Linked DNA regions of Coturnix japonica. Each later gene encodes a partner of the first gene's protein in a complex. Links are inferred from orthologs where the notes say so. Each region holds a gene or a part of one and is shown on either strand. Other genes may lie near its edges.

Region 1 (3,677 bases):
AAATGAGAGGATTTCCTCTCCATTAAATATCACACTACAGACAGCTCCATTTGCTCCAAATTAGGTAAGCTCTGAATAAATATTTTAATTAATCCATGATAAATAAGCCAGGCTTTTTCCCAGAACAGAGTCACTGCTTTCCTCCTTGGCAGCAGCGGTCTGTTCTCTCTGTGCTGTATGTATGCACGTACATGCCTGGGTTTTTTGTGAGGGCTTTTTTTTTCCCCCCTTCTCTCTCCCTTTTCTAAACCTGTCTCTCAAATGATCGGTTATAGCACATGTCCTTATCTGTGGATTTCCTTGCGTTTGTGTGCTCTTATTTCAGGGGGGAGGAGAAGGGGAATAATCAGATTAACACACTCAGACCCGTGGCAGGATGCTCTGAAACATAAAAAGAGGGAGAGAAGGAAGAATTCACACATAAAAATAGAAGCCCACGTAGATTGGCCATATATGGAGTACCGGGGACTTCAGAGGGATACCCTCTTCGGACCACCCCTTTGGCGGAGGCATGTTGCTGCAGGAGGCCCCTTCCCCCCTCCCCGGGCGGTTCAGCCCCCGGCCCCCAGGCTCGGAGGAGGCCCGGCGGGGCCGTTTGTCGGCGGGGCGAGGAGATCGGAGCGGGAGGCGGCGGCGGCGGTGATGACTCAAGCCCGCCCGCCCGGCCCGCTCTGCCCCCCGCCCGCTCCCGCCTCCCCCATTCCCCCCCCCCCTCCGGGGAGGGCTATTAAAAGCTGCTGACGTAGGAGCGGACGGCCATCTTTGATGAGGGCACGGCTCTCGGTCCATTGAAGAAGGAGACCCGAGGAGGTCAGCAGCGGCTGTCCTTGCCTCCCAGCTGCGGCACCGAGACACCAACCCCGCCGAGGCGGCCCGGCGGAGCGCTGCACAAGCCGAGGTAAGGGCGGGAGACCACCGGGCCACCGACTGAGCAAGGGGAGGGGGCTGTATGAACGAAAATGAAGCGAAAAAAGGATTTGTTTAAAGGGGGACGCGCTCGGCGTTTTGTCTCCTGTCTCTGGGCTGCTACAGGGATGGAGGAAGTCGAGGAGAGGGGGGGTAATGCCGCCGCCAGCCTTATCGCCGGCTGGAACCATGGGAGGGAACCGAGCTCTGTGTTTCCGCTGTATCGGGCACGATCGAAGGCGGCAGGGAGCCCGAGGAGAAGGGCAAGCAGCGCATTTCTAACCTGTACTGGGAGCAGGGTGCTGCGGGGCTCTCTGCTCTGCTGGGTCGCGCAGGGCTGCAGCCGCCCAGGGCACTGCAGCGCCCTTCCCGCACCGCACCGCACCGCGCAGGGCTGCGGCGGCGCTTCGGCACCGCGGACGGAGGCCGGGGGGGAGGTCAGCAGGGAGTACTGCGGCTCTGCGGGAACGGGAGGCGGTTCAGCACCGCGGACAGCGTCCGTCAGCACAGCGGACAGCGTCCGTCTTCAGCACCGCGGACAGCGCCACGGCGCCCCGGGCTTGGAGCCGCGCTGCAGGCGGAGGCGGGTTCGCTGCAGCGCCCTGCGGCTCCGCACCCCCCCCGGGCAGCCAGCCCCGGGCAGCCTCTGCCCTGCCGCAAGGGAAGCGAGCCCATAGCTGAGCTGCTAGCTCCTTCCGGGACGGGACCTCAGGCTGAAACAGCTGGGGCTTTGCGGGGTTTCTCGGCAAGTCGAAGCGCAAAGTGGGAGAAATAATAATAATAATAATAATAAACAATAATAATTACAAGCTTCGGTTCTTGAAATTAAGCGGCTCTTCAGCCTGTCTCCCACCCGGCCGGTTGGTGGAAGGGCATTGGTGCAAGGGAAACGGGAGTTATGTAACACCTGGTCCGCGGGGTCTCTCCGGACCAGCGGCAGCCCCTAGGGCATCCCCGCAACCACAGAGGGTCGGCCCCGGGCATTCTGCAGCCTTGAGTCGGGGCAGCTCAGCTCCTCATGCAATGCAGGCAAACCCACCTCGCACTCCTGACCCTGGCATCCCTGTCCCTGGCGTTCCTCTTCCCCTGTCCTTCCTGCTCCCTGGCACCCCGCTTTCCTTCTCCACTTGGTACAGCTCACTGCTGGCAAAGTTGGTAACTTTGCTGTTTTCTGCAGGGCAAATAAACAAGAGGGGATGAGGGAAGTGGGTTGGGCGTCCAGACATTGCACTGCGTAGCTGCGTCAAATGAGGGCCATGGGATCTGCCAGATTTACGTGCTTGGCTTGAGTAATTGCTGCTGGTTTCATTCCCAGCTGAAAAGGGGGTGGGGGGGAGGAGGTGGGGATGGAGAGGCTGGTCTGTGGTGAAGCCTGGGGATGGCAGATCAACCCACCAAGCCATACGTGGTTACTGTCAGCCCCAGCTGCCGCATCCACAAGGACATGCCTGTCCCTCTCCTCCCTGCTCCATCCTAGCTCTGATCTCCATAGACCATGACAAGACAAGGCTGGTCTGGAGGCAGACACCTCTATGGGCTGCAGGGGAGGAAATGGGGCCATCTGGGTGATGAGAGCTCCAGGGGATACAGATGAAGAATCCTCCTCCCATATCCCTGCATGTCACTGAATCATGGTCAAAGATACCAGTCTAGGAAAAAGTGGCAGTGGTTTTCCATTGCTTCTGCATAGTGCATAAGGGGATGGCAAGGAGGTCACTTTGATTCCTAGGATGAGTGCCAAAGAGACAGCAGAAGTGACCAAAGCAAAGGTACAAGCAGGCCTGATTTGCAAAAGTGAGAGCTTGAGGCTCCCACTGAAGTCAGGAGGACTGGAAATAACCGAGCATGTTACGAAACAAAATGCAGCTAAACAGCAACCCCAAGTAAATGCAGTTTAACTATATTTATACAGCTAGCTAGGAAATGATAGTGAGATATCGGATTCTATGTCCACTGAACTCATGAGGGCAGAAAAATAAAGAACCCTTAAAGTACATCTAATGAAACACAGCTCCAGTTTGCAGATTTACTGCATTGGGGGTGGAAGCTGTATTTCAGGTCATCAGAAAGCTTTTCATTCATCTCTGTACAGGTTAGGCATGGCAACAGACAGTGAGATTAAACTGCTAAGGCAAATAAAGTGTAGTCTATATCTAATTCCTGCTCTGCTATAACCGAGCAAGGTAACTAATCAACATGCTTTCCTGTCTTATTATTAACTTAAGCAATTTTTAGGCTTTTGTGTCACAAGCCTATGTTGCAACAATTTGAGGTAAAATGGCAAGCATACAGCAGAACGGAGAACTCAGTCTCTTAATTCCTTCTCTCAGGAATGTAAAAAACCCTAGGAAGAAAGGAACTTGGTTTACCTTGGCTTGTTACACTACCATACTTGTTCATTTCATTTAATTTTTTCCTGATTTTTTTCCTCAATTTTTCATAACTAGAGTATAATCACAGCACTTTCATTATTAAAACACATGCACATTTATTTCAGACTTCTAGGGCTTAAGTCACTTAAAACTACAACAAATGTAAACTCACTTTATGGCCTTCACTGAAGTGAGTATGTTTTTCTTTATCTGAAGTTTCCTCTACTGCTAGAAATGCAGTCACCTTTGGGCTGGGTGAGTGCCAAGTAGTCTGTAACAGTATAATTGTTGAAGCTTTTTAGAGCATCTAACGCAGAGTAGAAAAATGTGTTTGAGAACAGCAGCAGGCTGCAGGTCTCAGGCAGATCACAATTACCTCTAGGAGGTTGGGCTTTGGAA
Region 2 (3,717 bases), on another chromosome or scaffold:
AGAAAAACAGTTCAGTAACATACAGAGCTATTTCACATTACTCTTCCAGATCCATGGGCCTGGTGGTGTATCTACTAACCCAGATCCTGCTTCAGCAAAACGTTTAAGCGTGGGCTTGGTGTTCGACACGCCAGCAGTTCTGTGTGCTCAGAGCTGCTCGCCTGCTTGAAGCCAAGCGCAGCTTCCAAGTGCTTTGTTGTGTCGGGTCACAACCCTTCAGTGCATCGCGGGGGGTCACAGACTCCCGCTGAAGTGAAGTGATCCGCTCACCCTTCTCTCCATTGTGGGACTTGTGTTTTCACAGCAGACAAACTAAGTGCAGCTTCCCAGGAAAGTTCAGGTTCCCAAGTGCCAGGAGCCAAAACCTCCTGAACCCTCCTGTCTGGTCACGGAATCGCTCCTTTGTGAATCGCGTCTGACAGCAGAAATACTGTGTGATCGAAATGCAGAATATAACATGAACCCCCTCTCTGGTTGCACGCTTATGGCAGTTCCACACAATAGCTGGTGCCCAATGGGGGGTCCCCAAGACTTGCATGTCAAACTAGTATAGATGTCTTCTCTTTTGTAAGTTTTATTTTTGTAACCGTGCATGTAAAGCATCACTGAATCAATGGATCTGTTGAAGAACTCAGCTGCTGGAACCATGCAAAATGTTTTGAATTGCCCTTAAAATATGGAAAATGTTTTCTGAATGCTTTATATTCTTTCTGCTGTAAATTAAAAACAAAGAAAATTTCCCCATACGAAGCGTCTGACTGTTTTTACACGGGACATAAGGGACGTAGCGCCGCCATGGGCCCATCCCGCGGCCTGCTCCTCCCACAGCCCCGCCCTCCCTTCGTCACATCCGGGCTCCGCGGGGCAGCTGCCGCTTCCTGTCGGTCCTTCCGAGCGCTCCGGGTGCGCAGCGGCTCCGTGTCGGCGGCGCGATGTGAGTACGGAGCTGCGGGCGGGGAGCGGCCCCGATGGGCGGCGGGGCGGCCCGGCCGCGGCCGGACGAGCGGAGCAGGAGCAGCGGGCGGCTCGTTACGGCTCGTTACGGCTCGGGCCGCTGATGTCGGCCGGGAACCGCCCGTGGGTGGAGGCTCCCGGGGCGGCCGCGCTTCCAGCCGGGAGAGGCCGAGCGGGCTCCGCTTGGGCCGCGCACCCCGAGCTGGAGGCGGCCACGGCCCTTGGCTGCCGCTGGAGGCGGCGGGGGGGCGTTATCCTGCCCGGCTCCCCGGGACAATGTCGGCGGCCTCGGCAACTTCACTGAAGGCTTTTCTGGAAGCGCTGCCGACGTGGGCAAAGGAACGAGGGGCGGCTTTGGAGGCCAATTTCTTGTGTGCGTTCTGTGTGGAGCCTCAGAAAGCGCTTCCTAAATATTGGCAGCAGTAAAACAGCACAGAGGTGTGAGCACAGGAGTGGTTATTACATCAAATCTGAACTACTACTATTGAGCCCTGTCTTGTTATCACGGGGCACTGGGTGTGGGTCGCTGTGTGCGTCTACTTCCTTAAAATGTAGGTTTGAATTTAGTGCCCAAATCTCGTGCTACAATAAACAATGCTCAGGTTGAACCCTCTGGGTGTCAGGTTGCACTGAACAGCACGAACTTCTGCTGCAGAAAAGAGGAAAATACGGAAAAGCTGCTGGAGTTGTGGAGCTGTACAACAGAAAGTCACTAAAGCTGTGGACAGAACATGAGAAATGCGTACAGACTCCTGCACTGATTGCAGTAATGCACAGTGTTGTACTGGGTAACAAGAATGGGACTGCCTGGGGTTAGGAGCTCAGAGCTGACTGCAGGTTAACTGTTCTTTATGCCAAATGCATTTTCCTTGTGCTTTCTCTTGCTCAATATCAACTGTTTCAGACAACTGCTCTGTGCAAGGACACAGAACAACCATGAAAGTTCCTGTACTTTGGTTATTGGCGTAGAGTTTGTTACTGAAAAACTGAACACTACTGAGCTTGTGCCTGAGAACCTGAGCCCCTTCTGAGCACTACAGGAGTTGCCATATGCCTTAATAGAGACTATTGTATTAGCTAATTGTGACTTTCAGTACATCAGTCCATTCACTAGCAAGAGATTGAGGATGCACTTTGACTTAGACCTATAGCCAGCTGCTAAAACATCACTTTCCCAAAAGGAAATTAAACTTCTCTAAGATTATTCCAGGATTCAAAGTTTCCTGCTTCCAGGAAGGTCAGATAAGTTGTGTGTTGTAAGCATGTCAACTTGAAAGCAAAATCTCTAAGAGAAACTAAGAGGATCCCAATGGCTTTCTTTACTGCAGGTCAGCCAACGTCCCCGGAAACACAAATGTGCCTGCTGGTAGCAACCGTCGGCTTCAGCAAACTCAGCATCAAGTAGATGAGGTAAAAATCTGGTTAGATAAGTGTCATTCATTCCCTTAAAAAATCGGGTATCTAGTATAGATATACCAGCTAAAGTCGCTGTTGTTTGATATGAAGGTGAAACCTTTTACAATTCATCTTTCTTTGTTGTATCTATCACCTTAACTCTTGGAAAGGTTCAGAAAAATAATAATCCATTAATTCATTCCAGCTTGCTGCTTTGGGAAGACAACAAGCTTTGCTTTGACACAGAACAAGCTTGCTTCTCTTCATTAGCAAAGAAGTTTTACCTCTAAATAAGACATGTCCTGATTCCTGAGGAGGCCAAGAGCCAGTTTAGCTGCCAACGCTGTTTTTTGACGTATGGTTGACTGTTGTGCTTGAATGCCTCAAGTCATTCTGGTGCCAGTCAGGAGTTACATCCCAGGTTCAGGGGAATATAAGCACAGTGACTGTACTGAGACTGAGAAATAGACACTAGGGCCTTCCAGCTGCAGGTAATGTTCAGGCTTATGTTTGGATACCCTAAAATGCAAGTTCCTGCTCCTTAGATGAGAACATTTGTTCCCTGCAAATGGATTTGATACTGATTAATAAAGCTGATAACTTACCGATGTAGGTTGTTGACATCATGAGGGTGAATGTGGACAAGGTGCTGGAAAGAGATCAGAAGCTGTCGGAGCTGGATGACCGTGCTGATGCGCTGCAAGCAGGAGCTTCCCAGTTTGAGACCAGTGCGGCCAAGCTGAAGAGAAAGTATTGGTGGAAGAACTGTAAGGTAACCGTGGCATATATACACTTAGAGTATTCACTATCACAGTGAACAGTATTACAGTCAGCATCTCAAAAGGCAGCGGGAAAAGGGACTTCAGGCAGCGTTCATTTCTATAGCATCTAGTTTTAAAGCACTGCAGTGGTGAGGTGAAGTAATCAAATAGATGACCAGCAATGCTGCTTGATACAAGGCCTTGTGTGAGCAGCAATGGCCAGAGGGAAATGCTGCAATAATCTGAGGCTTTGGGGTACAAGAGGAATAGGCCAAAAATATATATATTAATGTGTAAGCAAGCGGAATGAGCTCACTGGGTATCCTTGTAGCTGTCAGCAGAGGTTGGAATCCTCATTGGTGAGCAACAAAGACAACAGAAAGGTCTACCACACCGAGTGAAAGTGCTTTGCAAGGGCTGCTGTCCTGCACTCTGACGGCTATTAAACGCTGCTGTTACATTATGTGACGAGTGGCTTTTTCTTCACAGATGTGGGCAATATTGATAGCTGTTGTCGTCATCATCATCATCATCATCATTGGTAAGTTGCAGCAGAATGGGGATTTCTTGGAGTGGATGGGGTTAATTCACCAGCTGCTGAAACTGG

The links.
Region 2: the proteins of SNAP25 (region 1) and VAMP3 are in contact, whole or in part, in a crystal structure (PDB 5KJ8), measured with the Rattus norvegicus proteins. The link is inferred for Coturnix japonica from reciprocal best matches to the Homo sapiens genes SNAP25 and VAMP3. Residues at the interface, in NP_112253.1 of Rattus norvegicus: Asp147, Leu150, Glu151, Val153, Ser154, Ile157, Leu160, Arg161, Ala164, Leu165, Met167, Gly168, Ile171, Asp172, Gln174, Asn175, Ile178, Asp179, Ile181, Met182, Ala185, Asp186, Asn188, Lys189, Ile192, Ala195, Asn196, Ala199, Thr200, Met202; in NP_476438.1 of Rattus norvegicus: Ser15, Arg18, Leu19, Gln21, Thr22, Gln25, Val26, Glu28, Val29, Ile32, Met33, Asn36, Lys39, Val40, Glu42, Arg43, Lys46, Leu47, Glu49, Leu50, Arg53, Ala56, Leu57, Gly60, Ala61, Gln63, Phe64, Ser67, Leu71, Lys74.

Annotation. Positions count from the first base shown.
Region 1 is NC_029518.1:11,889,204-11,892,880, reverse strand, and holds the start of SNAP25 (synaptosomal-associated protein 25), read left to right. Parts: upstream 1-737; 5' UTR 738-898; intron 899-3,677.
Region 2 is NC_029536.1:234,606-238,322, reverse strand, and holds the start of VAMP3 (vesicle-associated membrane protein 3), read left to right. Parts: upstream 1-815; 5' UTR 816-932; coding exon 933-934; intron 935-2,282; coding exon 2,283-2,364; intron 2,365-2,962; coding exon 2,963-3,121; intron 3,122-3,599; coding exon 3,600-3,651; intron 3,652-3,717. UniProt on the Homo sapiens protein: SNARE involved in vesicular transport from the late endosomes to the trans-Golgi network.